2 linked regions of the Arabidopsis thaliana genome follow. The protein of the gene in region 2 purifies or fractionates together with the protein of the main gene of each other region. This does not show direct contact. Each region holds a gene or a part of one and is shown on either strand. Other genes may lie near its edges.

Evidence for each region. The genes of interacting proteins can lie anywhere in the genome.
Region 1: the proteins of ARPC4 (region 2) and GRL fractionate together in Arabidopsis thaliana (co-fractionation; one study listed by BioGRID). This does not show direct contact.

The regions. Positions count from the first base shown.
Region 1 is NC_003071.7:14,800,851-14,807,359, forward strand, and holds the start of GRL (transcription activator), read right to left. Parts: upstream 3,001-6,509; 5' UTR 2,910-3,000; intron 2,695-2,909; 5' UTR 2,676-2,694; coding exon 2,274-2,675; intron 2,181-2,273; coding exon 2,106-2,180; intron 1,726-2,105; coding exon 1,645-1,725; intron 1,438-1,644; coding exon 1,357-1,437; intron 1,243-1,356; coding exon 1,160-1,242; intron 1,065-1,159; coding exon 980-1,064; intron 894-979; coding exon 768-893; intron 634-767; coding exon 526-633; intron 232-525; coding exon 1-231. Other genes in the region: AT2G35120 (Single hybrid motif superfamily protein), read right to left, coding at 5,063-5,191, 5,589-5,851, 6,346-6,424. UniProt on the Arabidopsis thaliana protein: Involved in regulation of actin and microtubule organization. Part of a WAVE complex that activates the Arp2/3 complex.
Region 2 is NC_003075.7:8,151,728-8,160,449, forward strand, and holds ARPC4 (binding protein), read right to left. Parts: upstream 5,064-8,722; 5' UTR 4,990-5,063; intron 4,641-4,989; exon of another isoform or gene 4,600-4,640; 5' UTR 4,520-4,599; coding exon 4,517-4,519; intron 4,345-4,516; coding exon 4,279-4,344; intron 3,946-4,278; coding exon 3,893-3,945; intron 3,784-3,892; coding exon 3,756-3,783; intron 3,658-3,755; coding exon 3,583-3,657; intron 3,367-3,582; coding exon 3,262-3,366; intron 2,865-3,261; coding exon 2,771-2,864; intron 2,442-2,770; coding exon 2,335-2,441; 3' UTR 2,080-2,334; downstream 1-2,079. Other genes in the region: DMT2 (DNA methyltransferase 2), read left to right, coding at 1-110, 255-404; AT4G14145 (cytochrome C oxidase assembly protein), read right to left, coding at 772-849, 933-1,059, 1,165-1,364; PAKRP1 (phragmoplast-associated kinesin-related protein 1), read right to left, coding at 6,918-7,205, 7,318-8,106, 8,179-8,331, 8,416-8,514, 8,628-8,722.

The DNA.
Region 1 (6,509 bases), on a different chromosome or scaffold from region 2:
AGCTTCCTTTTGTTTAGTCCGTCCAGACTTAGCCATCTTCTTTGATTCTAACACTCGGGGTAAAACATACAACTGGTAGTCTTCGTGCAACAGAATGTACTGCATAGTTAGATTAATAGAGTCAGCTGATGCAAAACTAATTCCAATACCAAACTCTTTTTCGCAGACCATTTGATATAAACTCACCTCATCCCGGAATAACGTCACGACTAAGTTTTCCTTTAGCACGACCTGAAATACAACAGGACAGTATTAGAGACAGCACGAATTACACGCAATCTTGATTTGTTTTGAGCATCAAAAACCTAACTCCATTACTAATCTTAAGTTAAACAAACACTGAAAATGAAAGCACTTAACATTTTACAAACAAAGGCAGAGAGAGGCAGAAAATTTCTGATTTGTGAAACAAATTTATAGAACCTATTATTGACCAGATAAGATAGTTTTCAAGATAGAATCCTTGGAGGAAAAACTTCTTTATCAAGATCACAATCGAGAACAAAATGAAAAACAGATTCATACCAGGGCGATATCAATGCTAGTAACACGAAGAAGCTCGTCGGGGCAAACGAGATATCCAAGAAGCACCCACTCTCGGTACGAAGTAACATTTGCAAGATCTTGCGCTCTCTGTAGGAACCAAGAGTGTATTATCTAATATTAGCACTATACATCGAAGTAGAGTTGTAAGGGAAAGACAATAGCATCCTACTAATTCTGAGAATCCTAAGCTTTTATGTTGATAATAATCTAGCCGTTCGTACCATGGGATGAGCAGAATTTGTAAGTATATCTGGGAATCTAGGATGATATGGGCTTAAAAATCCCTCATTTCTCAACTTCCTCGTATCTGCAGATAGAAAAATACTGGGTCCTACAGCCTCCAGGACCTAGGAAAATAGTAACGTTGTTAGTACTGCTGTATCAGTTGCAATATTAGCTCGTAGGATACCCGTGATTTGAATAAAATATTAACCTCTCCAATCCTTGGGCTGACAAAATTCAAATCTTCTTGTAAGCCTTTCAATGGGGGATCATAAGAGTCTATGAATTGCACCAAGCTGGATGCAAGACGAGGAGTGTTAATATATGATATCAGAGTCTATTGATTATATACAAATTAAAAATGATACTACAAGGAAAAAAACATCCATACCGGTGATAAAAGTCACAGTCTCGATCATTTCTTGATAGCGCATGCAGAAGGTTGTAGACTTGCAACAACATTTTCCTAGGAATCTACTTTGATAAAATAAACACTCTTACATATTGATAATAATGTAATGTCTCACATGACATGTGTAATCAATCCAAATAAACAAAGAACTAAGAAAAGGAACAAGCTCAGCATACCTTCTCTGCGAAGAGATTGACTCGGACAAATGCACAAAAGAGATCCATGAATGCATGCAGAATAAGTGAGTTCTGATGAGGCTGCAAAAAGCTGAACTAAGTTATGAGCTAATCATGAATACTCAACAATTTTATCTTCATCCTCACAGACATTTTTGACAAGTAAATAATAACTTAATGTACCAAAACATTTCATGACCTCCACCTAAGGTACGAGTTCAAAAGAAAGCTCAAAGTTTCAACCCAGAGCAAGTAAATACTTTCCGCAGATGAGAGACTTTGACTCACCAGCAAGGTAATTACAGTGCTGCTTAGGTCCAATATAAGCCGCAGTGCCTGTTCTCGAAATGCCATCAAGTCGAGCAGCAGCTGATTCAAGAAAAGAAAAATGCATGACGAGAGGACTATGAAGGCACCCCTTACTGAAATGCTACACACGAACTAAGGAAAGAAGGCTAGCAAATAACTACTCGTTTACATTTTAAAAGTTAAAACCATGTATTAGGTAAATCATATATGCATGCCCAGATATATAAAGCTGACTAATGGTGAGATGGAATAGAAGATTGAATATTGACTATATAGCAGACTGAAGATTGAAGATTGACTAGGTACACAAAGAAAACTAATAGAAAGATTGACTATATAGCATGTAGGACTTCCGAGATGCTTCACCATTCTCGAACAACAAGTTTCACAACAACAGAACGTAAACCCAACAACATATTACATAGATAGTTTCTTATTACCTGTATCCATGGCTCTAAGCTCTGTAAGTGAAGTTCAGCACCATCATGCAAGCTATCCAGTGAAAACTTATCAATCTGCATAAGTATTGCAGAATAAATCTTTTTTCATTTACCATCAGATCAACAAATCAAACAGTAAGTCTAATAAAAAAAGAACTCATGACTTACACGTTCAAGTTGCAATTTGCTGAAATGCTCAGGGAACTTTTTAGAGAGCAAAGTGCATATCCGTGGATGGTTAGGGAAGACACCCGCTTTCCAAAATGCTTCAGAGAATACATGGCCAACAGGATCAGGATACTCCAAGATTTGATTCAGTCTATACATTTTAGCCATGAGACCGTCAGCAACCTCAATCATTTGAACTACCCATTGTATGTTCAAAGCCTTTGTGGAACCACCAACATGTCCATCAATTTGCTTAGAGCTCCTAGTAGAAGACACTGATGCAGCCATTTCAGGTCCCAAGTACTCAGTCCATCTGGAAGGACCTTCCCATTCCCTTGATCTCACAGAAGTCGGGGACATTGATTCATCTTGAGATGGATAATATTGACGAGAATTCGCCATTAATTCAGTACAATAATCTCTACAATAAAGGAAAATGTATTTCAAAATCACGTTACACAATCTCGTCCAACATAATTTACTTAGCTCTCTACTCTTGCATTCATCTTCCAAAAACCCAGTAATACTCAACAACGAGTGACGAGTGAGAATAGATATCCCCTCGTCAATTTCCCAGCAACCAAACAAGGAGCTAAAACCAAGTCAAGCAAGAGTCTCGTGAAGATTGAAAGTTACCTGAGAAGCTTTAAAGGCGAAAGTCAAATCGAGCAAAAATGTCTCAGTAAGATCGGAGCTTCGTCTGAGAGTTCAGATCTGAATTTCTGCAACCTACTCCGGAGACGATGATGACGACGACAAAGAGGAGAGAGAGCGTCGGGCTTAATCGGAGTGTGTGAGCCGAGAAATAAAGAGTTGCTAAATTCGGGTCTCTCTCATTTAAGACAAAATTAGTCAGTAGAATTTCTTTCGTTTTCAACTAAAATGCAGATTTTTTTATTTTTTTTTACTCTTTTCTTGCTCAAGCACATTTTTTACTTTTTACCTGTAAATCTAAACATTTCCATAGGAAACGAAACAATGTAAGTAGAAGAAAATTATGAACAATTGAACAGCTGAAAGTGTTTATCCCTTTCAAAAAATAAATTGTTTATAAAATTTTAATAAAATATGAGATTTTTAGTTATATTGAATCGGAATTGTCTACTTGAATTTGAGCAGTGCAAGACAACATTTTTTCACTAGAAAAAATGATATTTCAAATCATGTGTTGTTTTGGTTTGATTGTAGTTATTTGGATTACAAGTTTTTTTTAGCAAAACTATAGGATTAGCTCCAACTATTGAGATTTTAGCATAACAAACCAATGTTCTTTTATCATATGTACATTAACAGAAGGTAAATTCAAATCTACGACATCTATTTCAATAATGAGGATAGCTAAAATAGAAAAAAGTATTTGGTATATTATGTAGTAAGTACTATTTTTAGTATTTAAAAGGAAAATTTCTGTTAGAAAAAGAACAAACGTTCTAGTTGGGTGGTTGAAATGTAAGTTTTCGAAGCTTTGACAAAATGAGAACAAGTCCCTTAACCGGTAATTTTTAATATTTAAAAACAATTAACCAAGAGAACAATATTGACGTCGACAAATACTAACTTGTAGTATATAATTATCATTATCTCTACATATGGAGTAGCTTTTAGGTGTAATAATTGTCAATTATTTTAGAATTACTGTGTTAAACTTTAGTATGATTCGACTAATAAATAATGTTTCTGACGTTTCTGATGATGAATTTGCCCCTCCCTCACTTTTTGTTGCGTGTCCAAAGCTCAGTGCTATCCAAGCATTTCATCTTTTCAACATAATTATTTGATTTGAGAATTTAATCATAATGTTGATATTACTTTTTTACTAATAGAAAACAATCAAACAATCAAATTAATAAGTAAATTAGTGGAAACCATGACACACAAAAACAACTTCATATAATAAAGTAGGGTTGACAACGCAGGAATATTGTATTACAAGGCACATCTTGTAACTTTGTTGGACAACTGTGGCTAAACAAGCTTGGCCTTCACAATAAGCAACAATGATTCCAAAATCTTTTCCCTCTGTGCACATATCATTGCATCACAGATTTTGTTTCCTTTCACATTATCTTTTGAGGTCCCTATGAACCAGAAAATAACAAAAAAACGGTTTTCACACGGTTGCTACAATATGACCGAACCTATATTCTTTATTCGCATGAATCTTCCATTAGCTTCTTCTTTGTACTCGGCTATTATCTTGGATTCCAATTTCTTCATCTCAGGACTGGGCAGTTATTTTACTGAACTCCAAATTAATTCAAGAGTCTACAAGTGTAGTTGCTGCCGTGCCTAGACCTACGGAGGTAAGGTCCATCTGAAGAGAAGCATTTTTCTTGTCAACATGTTATCTTATATAGTATGAACATTACCAATCCGGTGTACAATTGTTTATAAATAGATGGATGGTGGTCCAGTAGCATTTGATTTGGTCCCTCCAAAGGAGTTGGAGCTTGCTAAGCACTAAGCACTAGTTCAACCCGCTAAGGGTTATGGTTTTCGGTCCACGAAGATGTACTGTCCGAAACTTTTTGCAGTTAAGAAGAAAAAGGCATAACTCCATGAAAGATCCAATCAATTTCAACGCCAAAGCTCATTATTCTCTACCATTATTCAAACAATTTCATTTCATTAAAAGAAAAACATGAAAAGAAAAAAGGAGAACGAGAGATGGGAATTTTCAGTCCAAGGGACAAAGATGGAGAAATCTCGTTTTGATCCTCGATTGAGAAAACAACAATCTGTGTTGCGGTGGAAGCTTGGAGAAGGATGCTGGAAAAAATAGAAAAAGCTCAGTGCTTGGCGTCTTCTTCTTCGCAGAACTTAGAGTACTTGTCTGAATCCATCAGCTTCTCTGCCTCGCCTGCATCACTCAGCTCAACTTTTATGATCCATCCTTGTTCATACGGGCTAGAGTTCACCTGTGAATTCCAACAAAAGAATCTCTCAGCTCGAGACCACAAAATCAAGAATCTCCAAGTTAACGATATTTAAGCAAGCTATTGATAAATCAAATCTATATTGGTTCTCAAAGATCAAGAGTTTCACATCAGCTAAAAGCCTAAAACTTTCCAACACTCACTTATGTAAATAATTTGATCTAGACCTACGAATCTTGAAGACACTTACATTTTAACAGCTGTTGAATAATCAAGTATTTATGCAAAGAATGTTACCCGAGGAATGAATTTGTTAGATCACATGAAAATGACACCCGCAAAACTAAGATTTCGGATTTGATCATGCCAATGAAGTTCTTTTTGGTTCAACACATGGAGTCAATGGTAATATGATTCTGAGTCTGAGATGAGTACTCACCAATCCAGGGGACTCGGTCAGCTCCTCATTGACTTCAACCACCTTACCCGAGACTGGAGAATTGATATCGCTAGTTGCTTTCACACTTTCAACTGCTCCAAAACTCTTCCCTTGTGACACCGAATGTCCTACATCAGGTAACTCCACATAGACCACATCTCCTAAATGGTCCTGCGCGTGATCCGTTATACCAAAGGTTGCTTTATTCCCGTCAATCTTCACCCATTCATGTGAATCAGCATATTTCAAATCCTTCAAAACCACTATAATACACATGCCAACAACAACAACAAAAGAGAATATAATCAGTAAGGTTAAATGGCAAAATAATCAACATTCCTAAAACTTCTTGAAGATCTTCCTTCTCTGTAAACAACATGTTTCAGGCCCAAAACAACAGATTTTCAAAATCTTCCCCAAAACTACTTCAAGAATAAAACTTTAGAGAATAATGCGTATAACATGAACATATCACTCACTACCTCCAAGTTTCTGAACACTTGTAAGAAGATTATCATTATTAACAGAGAGACTCGAGAAATCATATGCAATTTCTGGGATTTGATACGAAAAGGAGAAATATTAGCTAATAGCGATATCCAGAGACAATCAATCCAGCAAAAAGCAAACGCTTTAATCCGATCAGAAGTCGAGAACAAACCAAAAACCAATAAGTTCAAATAGAACAATCTCAGATCAAAAACGCAGAGTAATCAACAGAGGAGATCAAACAAAGAGAAAGGAGATTGAGATTCACCGGAAGAAAACCCTCGTTGAGCAACGGAGATCCTTAGATGAGAAGCAACCCTAGAAGCCCAAAAGAGTCTACAAGCCATTTTTTCGTTGGAGAGATCTCGCACAGATACACAACAACAACAGTGAGAGAGAAAGAGTGCACTCACCGAACGGCTTATTATTATA
Region 2 (8,722 bases):
GAAACTTACCCATTTCCATCACCGATCCTCAGCCCATGGGTAAGGTGGGAATGTGCTTCCATCCTGAACAGGACAGAATAATCACTGTCCGTGAATGCGCCCGATCTCAGGTAAAAAAAGTTCTTATGTTCCTTCTTCGTCAGCCCTCTAGCATTACTAATAGAGTACATATTTCTTTTTGTTTTGGACATTAAGTAATGTTAGGTTATGGATACAACAGTTTTAAGTGAAAGTGTTGTTTTATGAAAATGTAGGGGTTTCCGGATAGCTACGAGTTTTCAGGGACGACAAAACACAAACATAGGCAAATTGGAAATGCAGTCCCTCCACCATTGGCCTTCGCTCTCGGTCGGAAGCTCAAAGAAGCCCTATATCTCAAGAGTTCTCTTCAACACCAATCATAATTGGAAATGCAGTCCCTCCATCATTTCATTTTTTTTAGTATAATCTTTTTCTTAAAACTCAAAGTCTATGAAGCAAGAAATGATGTCTATGAAGTATGAGAAATTTTACTAGAAAATAAAGTTGTGTAGAAATTGGTATAAAGATGTAAAGTCTAACTGGTTATAAAACCTCTTTCAGATCTATTTGGACGTCGTAAATCAACACGACAACATGTATTATCAACAATTGGCAAGTCCCTCGTTGTTCTTGGTTTTAGGAAGCCCAGACAGAACTTACTGGAATTTGTACTTGGGCGATTATGTGAACTGAAGAGTCATTTAAAACTGAAACACATCTAAAAAGACTAATCTTATACAAAGACTCTTCTTAACTCGACTTGCTTTCGTTTAGCTTTGGAATTTTCTTGTACTCGTACGTGTTTATGTCCACCTTCTCTTGCATAGCCTGCGTTAAACAAAACCCAGTCAAGATTTTAGTGTTTCATCAAAGCTTTTATGCAGTCTAATTGAGCGTATATCCTTTGTTACCTTGAGCTCATCTTCAATGGATGTGTTTTTAGGTTTATAGGCATCGACAGGTCCTGTTCTCGAAAGTGCCTTTCTTGTTTCTATAATCTCCCATTCTTGGTCATCTTTTACCTTTGCAATATCCTTACTGAACTAACCAAATAAACCATATGTGGTGAATTCTAAACAGAATCATTGACATTTCCCCAGACATTTATAGATTCAGAGGTTTTCCAATCAAGAAAGAACTGACCTGCCTTGAAGGAGTTGGCCGAGTCCGAGGGCTCCAAATACAGTGAGAGATATCATCGGAAGTCCATATCTTACAAACGGGTGTCTCCTTCCCCACCTTTTAAACGATGCTGATGACTGCTTAAGAGTACCAGTAGGGGTAGTACCAGAACCGGAAGGAGAAGACTTTTGAGTTTTCTGACCGGTTTCGATTGTTGTCATCTTTGTATTAACTCTCAAAGCATACAACTGCAAGGAAAAAGCAAGAGTGAGAACCTACTACATTGTTATCATTTTTCTTAATCCTGAAAACAAACACAAGAGTAGCTACTACAATAAGCATTGAGGAATCCATTTTCTACTCTCTAATAACATTTTCTTCTGAAATTAGTCACAAAACATAGTGTGCAAATATGGTAATCTGTGAATTTCAGATCGACTCAATCAATTTGATAATAGAGCAGAGTTAAAGATCAATACTAGCTCTGTTTCACGTGACTGGATTTGTTTCGTCGTATCTTCTACAAACAACAGATTCGTATGACCTAAATAACGTTTCCTAAACCGTAGAAATTCTCAATCTAAACCCAGAAATCAGTTCCATTCTAGGCACAACACACCGATTCGTTGTTTGACATAAATAAAAACTAACCTGGAGCTGCGTGATGGCCGGAATCTGAAGTAGCTCACTAGGTCGACGCAGGACGAGATTAGATAGAGACGGCGATGGAGACGCCGAGAAGCGAGAAGAGTGATGACGAACGTTGAGCTTCTCGGTGTATACGGCGTCGTTCGTTCTTTTAGGAAATAATCAAACAAATTAATAAATTCCCCTATTATTAGTTTCAATAATGGGCCCAGCCCAGTAACTCATATTTTGGGTTACGGTGTAAAAGAAACGACGACGTTTTTTCCTTTGTTGTGGATCTTTGTTCTGTCAGAGATGAACAATTTGTTGGTCTTTGGTGGTAAGAATAAGATAAAACAACTTTTTGGTTTCTGGGATTGTACGTTCGAACATCTACGATCAACAGACCACATTTGATAAGTATCGCATTACATACACTACAATTACCAAGCCGATGGCTCGGTACTTTGGTTGTGTTAGAATAACAGAGAAAGTAGCAAAATGAAGAGTAGATGGATTTTAACCAAATAACGAGTGATTGATACAATGAAGGGTTACATTATACTACTTCAAGAGCTGCTTTACATGAACTGTTTCAAGAACTCCGTAGCAACGAGTCTTCCTCTTGTATTCACTGACTCCTTCAAGTCCCTTATTTCTTTCTCTATATCCTGCAATTTCCATGGTTAAAAAATAGTCACACTTCAAGTTTCAAATCTATTTTAAGCGGAGATTAGCATGTTGGAGGACATAATCAGAGTAACTAATCTCTGTTGACTCTTGTAGAAACAATTCAAATTCAAAGACGGATATAATGACCTTTGTTAAGGCAACTATTCAGAATACTACTTCTCAAGTTATTTCCGTGAGAAACACAACGACGTAAGGATGCATCACTAACATTAGGTTTGATGCAACCAAGACATATATTGATTGTTAGGATGCTACTAATGGGAGCAACCAAGGTCATAGAATAAAAAGATTAGGTTTCGAGAGAGACTTGCCTCCATAAACTGAATAATGAAATCAATTAGCTTCTGTTTCTGCATCTCTTCGCAGTGGTAGTTTGTTATAAGAAAGCTTATGTCATAGCCCTGTTCAAAACACCAACAAAGAAACCAATTGAAGGGAATAAGGGAATGGATCGTTCACACAATGCAGGGGAATAAACAGTAAACCATCTAAAGCCAAGGCAATGCATTTCCGCACAGTGAGATGATTCATGATTCATGATTCATAGAAGGGAAAAAGAAAGGAAAGGTGTGGTACATACAGACTATCTATCATCCTAAACCTAAAAAATGCCTGCACAGAAAGCTAAAATTAAGGAGAATTTGTGAATACTGTCTGCGTTATGTTTAATCAATTCGTGATGCATTTACCATTAAAAAAAAATAGAAGTTCGACAAAAGAGGGAATGCATTGCAACTTCTAGATAAAACCTAGTAGCACTCACAAGTACCTAAGTGTTGAATCAATAAGAAGGTCTACCTGCACTGGCTTCCTCCTCAGTACTTGAAAAGCTTCTGCCCTCATGGACAAGAATCTGAGAAATTTTTTGGTTAGTATGTTTTCAAGTTCATCCGCTTGCTTGACCTGCAAATTAAAGATAACAAATATTTGTAACAGCAGAACAAGACAGATGTCTAGACTAAGTCACGACTCGTCAAGACGTTATCTCAGGAGAAAGAAACAAAGGAAACGGTGAGAAACAGGAAAGTAAAACAACACAAAGCCTTTGTTGAACAGTGTACCACTGGGGCTCTTCCTGGAAGTATTTGAAGGAAAAGCTAGGGTAAGATGAACATTTACCTTGAGGCTTATCCGGAGTGAATTTATAGATGTTTCTATTAAACACTTTTCAGCCTCATTTCGGCATATTAAAACCTGCAAGTTGCAAAACTTAGCAGTCAACTACAAAACCTAGGTAAGAAGACAATGCAATATCAACGCTAAACTGGGAGGGAAACAAGTAAACTTCTTACAGGATTTAGCAAAAGTTCTGGGCTCGTCCTACAAAATTTAGCAAACACATGGTGATAATAAGATTCTATGCTTGAAATAAAAATGGAAGAAGAGCACCCCATTCTCACATGCATCTTCTTGTGAGAAGCTTACATACTTTAATTCAACCTCTGGTTTATTATGCCTTTCAACTTCTTGACAAGGAAAATTCTGCAAGTAGAGAAGTATAGAAGCTTTCAGGAATATAAACCATGTAAAGCTGAATGTTTTCAAAGACTCCACATGGCCCCTTTCACCTACTTTAACGAAATCGGTAGGTTCTGACACCAAATATTGCGAGAAAAACGTCAAAAAGTAAGTGAATGATGGTACAACATGTCTAATCAAAAAGTAAACAACTAATACAAGAGAATAACAGACCAAAGGTGGATGAATGAGATAGAACGCCAACATGAAGCTTTAACTGCCTTAAACAAACTTAACCATAAAGATGGAAACTTTGAGACCTATGCCATGATATCATGAACCAAAAATAATTTGTACCTGTAAGCACATGGCAGCCTCGAGTGTATTTTTTATGCATGCTAGATACAGCCGTAATGAGTTTGCCTGGAACATCAAAGACCCATCGGAAGCAAATTTTAAACAATTTCTGCAGTAAATCAGTATGCGATAGACATTGTTTAAAAGAATTGTTTCTAAACAGGACATGTTTGAATGAAAAAGAGTCTTTGTCAAGTATGAGAAGAATCAAAATTAGAATTACAGTCAAGGTTCTTACCATGTCCTAGAAATGATGTTATTCTACTCGAGACTTGCACCAGACTTAGGATTTTATCTTTCTTCTCGATGAATCTTTATGAGCTGAAAAAATAATCCAAACATAAACAAGAAAGCATCTTTAGTTTCATAGAATTTAGGTTACCAACTTTTTTATACTAAACGTCAATAAGAAAGCAACTTTAGGATCAAAATGTCTACAAGAAAACAAAACACTCTCAAATGTTTAAGATAAGAAGAGAACAAAATAACAATCAAGTAACAGCAAGATCCCGGAGACTAGAGTTTCTATGTAATCAACTCGAAGCAACAACAAGATCATGATTATTGAGAGACCCACTTAGAGAAATAAGCCAATCTACTGAAAGTCTGAAACTTTTGGAAAATGTGAGAAAGGGAAATCAAATTAGATCCCTAGGAATCAATCAGACAAATCAAAAGCCCTAAAACCTTGGTCGTGAACAAATTGCATACCTTGGACGACTTGGAGACTCGTGAGAGGAGAGATCGTAAGGAGATTTAGAGATCAACGATCGGAAAATTGAATCACGATCAAATTGACCGGATAAGTGAAACGAAATGCGTCAAAACCGAACCAAACCAGACACTCCGACCGGATCTGGTACATTCTAAAATGGAATGTTCATTGACCCACAAATACCAGCAAGATTCTGCGGATTGAACCGGTGAACCGGGTTGCTCTACTTCTAAGTTCTAATCTACAACTACAAGCGGTACTTGCGCTTTAACACATCTGTTTATGTTACTGTATTCATTTATAGCAAAGACTGGCTCTGCTTCTTGTAGAATGTTCTGTATCCGATGAGTAGTATATATCATATTTGCATGCGTAGATGTTGCAGCTGGGAGAGTTAACGCAGTCGATTTCTTGCTCAGAGGCAAGACTTCCTTCAGAGTACTTTTCTCTTGGCAAGAGCATTCCAAGATTATAAGAGACTCAAACTCAATTCCAATTGAACTCGTTGAGTCCTTAACTACATTCAAGTGATGAATTTGTTCAAGATGAGGTACTTAATGTTGAAGATACTTTGGGTTGCTATGTAAATTTTTCCACTGTTTTGGTTCCTCTGAAAGTTTACTTAGCTGTGCGTTGTGTTATTTTAGGTGCCGCCCTTCTGGGAAAACGATCTTCAGAGTATTATTCAGATGGGTTTCGAGAGATAGTCAGCAACAGAGCAACAACTGTATGCAAAACGAAACAAAAAGCAACAACATATGTCTTGTTTTAAGATGTCTAATATCTACTATATGAGTATGACATTCCCATTTGGTTGTATATTGCATAGGTTCGGAACTTGTGAAAATTGAGCCAAACAAATGGTGAACGAAGAACGGTACGGAGTTATTAATAGTCTCTGGAAGTAATGTTTTACTTCACATCGTTTCTTCTTGTATCTTTTGTTTTATTCATAAGAAAAAGTCTGCGTCTGTGAAAAGAATGGTAGATGAAGAACTTGTGGACAGATTTGTATTAGTAGAGAAGAGGTAGATTCAAAAAAAATTATATATGGATCTTATAGAAGTCTTTGTGTGATGTTTTTGGTATATTCAGGTCTCACTTGTTGGTCTAGTGTGTGACAAAGATGTTTCAAAAGTCACAAAAGTTAGATTTACTCTTTGATGATGGAACAGGACGAATTGATTGTAAAAAATGGTAATTAACACACATAGACTATACCCTTTTGAGATATGGAAGAGTTGTTTTTAGGTACAATGGTAATTTGCTATTTAGTGTAATCACCCACTTAGTGACACATCCTTCATGATAGCAATGCTTACAATAAGGCATCTGGCAACAATTCTCAGATCTCGACATATTCTCCAAACAGATTGCACAAGTCTCCGATTCTTCTTCTTCTTGGTCCAAATCTGTCGCCGACGGAGAAGAAATACAAGGCACAACACTGTATAACTTGTGTGTCAATCTGACAGAGACTATCATGAATAAAGGTTGTTGACGTTGTTGTGGCAAGTAAAAACTTTGACTTCTTTGCAGTTGGGCTTCGACAATCTTAGAACATATTTGTCCGGACAGGTCACGATCGTGGAGTTGGCGTTGAAGACGTTGATAGACGTAGTTCCGTTAGTGTAATTTGCTATTTAGTGTAATACCCAAAAATATGAATATTGTTACTAGAATATAGAGAGTGCGAGATAAAGGAAGGAGCACGCTCATGAAAATGAAAAGTAGAATTGTTTGGGAATTAGGATTGCAGTCTAAGCTAAGAGATCTGCATGAAGGTTGGTTTAATCTTCTACGAATCCAGGAGGTTTGCGTCATTTGTACATAATGAGTTGCAAGTTATGAGTGAAATTGGACTTATATCACAGAATCAGACACCCATTTTATACACATTAAACACACAAAATAGATATTAGAATTATATGTTGCACCTATCATAACCCGAAAACCAAGAAGGCTCAGCAAGATTTGAAAACTCAGTTTCTTTTTTGTAAAGCGGCTCAAACTCATCTCTCCATTGCTGCTCACTACTTGCATTTACTGATGGTTCCACGGCTTGATCACATTTGGTAGAGCATTCATTGTGAATATGAGATTGTGGGACGAGTTGGTTAAGTGTGTTGATTTCGTTTTCATGTTTCTTCTTCAGCTTGTCAATCTGTCTATATGCTTCTGCAGCTTCATACTCTGCATCCATCGCACGTTTCTGTTGACACAAGCCACATAGATTTTATGTAAGAACATGCATGCATAATAATAAAAGCAACAGACTTATTCAAGGATGTGACCTGACATGTTTAGAAAATGTAATAACGTACCTGTGCAACTGTTAATCCCTCTTCGGCTTCTTTAAGCCGAACAAGTAACTCTCCAGCTGCTTGTATGGCTTCAGCTGTATCTCTTAGTTGTGTTTGGAGACTTTTGTTCTCATCCCTCAGGTATTGTCTCTCCTTCTCTTTTTCTACCTTTAAGGCTGAAATTTCTGCTGCAAGTGCATTTATGAATCTGGACTCTGCTCCTCTGACTCCAGCTCTTGCAGCTGCCTTTTTGACATCATCTATTCCGTCTTGAATCCTTCTATGTCTTGCAAGCAATTGCATATGCTTCTCTTCCAGGTCTGCATATTGTTCAAGCATCCGTGCATGCCCTTCCATGGCCATCTGCATTGCTTCTTTCAACTCCTCCCCGCATCTTTTCTCAATTTCAAGTTCATGTTTCTGCTTATTAATCAGCGCCTTACTGGCTTCAAGCTCAGTTCTTAATTCCTCGGAGAGAGAAATCCATTTGGTCTCTGCCTCTGTCCAACAAAGTCTTTCCTGTTCTAATGTCTTCTCAAGACTCTCGTCCTGTGACTCAGGAATAGCGTTAACTGGGGGAGCTTGGTATGAAAGCTTAAGCAGGGTACACGTTTTCAGAGCTGATTTAAGAGAAGGGTCAATGTAACATTGCAGCTGCAACTTCAAATCCTGAATCTCTTCCAATAACACTTCCCGTTCTCCCATGTCACCATAAAAGTTCTTGAAATTCTCGACCTCTTCTTGCGTTCTTTCCAACTCAATCTTCGTCTTAAGCACTTCAGGGTGATTCTGATACATGTCCTTTAGAAGCTGCAACATTACATGTCAGTAAAAGGGTAATGCAATCAAATACCCTTTTACAAAACGAGAAGCCACAATTACCTTATGTTCATGGAGAAGAGAAGCAAATTCTTCATCAAGGAAATCCTCCTTAGATAATACGCCATCCATAAGGCTTTCAAGGCGAATAATTTTGTCCTCCCTTGTTTGTCCTATGATGGCATTGCACTCTCTCTCATGTTTGTATTGTTGTACCTATTACACGGTTTGGACCAATTTATGTTTGAGGATACAGTTACTAAGGGAGATTAAAAACAGAAAAAGACGCAAGTATCATACCAGTCGGTTAAGTTGGGTTATCTCAGAGGCTTGTTTAGTGCAGAACTCTTCCAGAGCCATTTCCCTCCTGATAGAACCTGCTAGAACCTTTTCTACTGCCTGTAAAGTGTAAAACTCGATCAGTTGGAGGAACCAATTATAGAAATGTGGAAACAAAATAAGACTGTGAATAACTATCTAAATCTATGTTAGAAAAAAGTCACAGTTCTTACTTTGGGAACTTGATTCTTGGATTTTTCTGCCACTTCCGAGTTGTCAACAGGTACTAACTGAAGATTTGGCATGTCACCCATTTGCTGGGCATCAA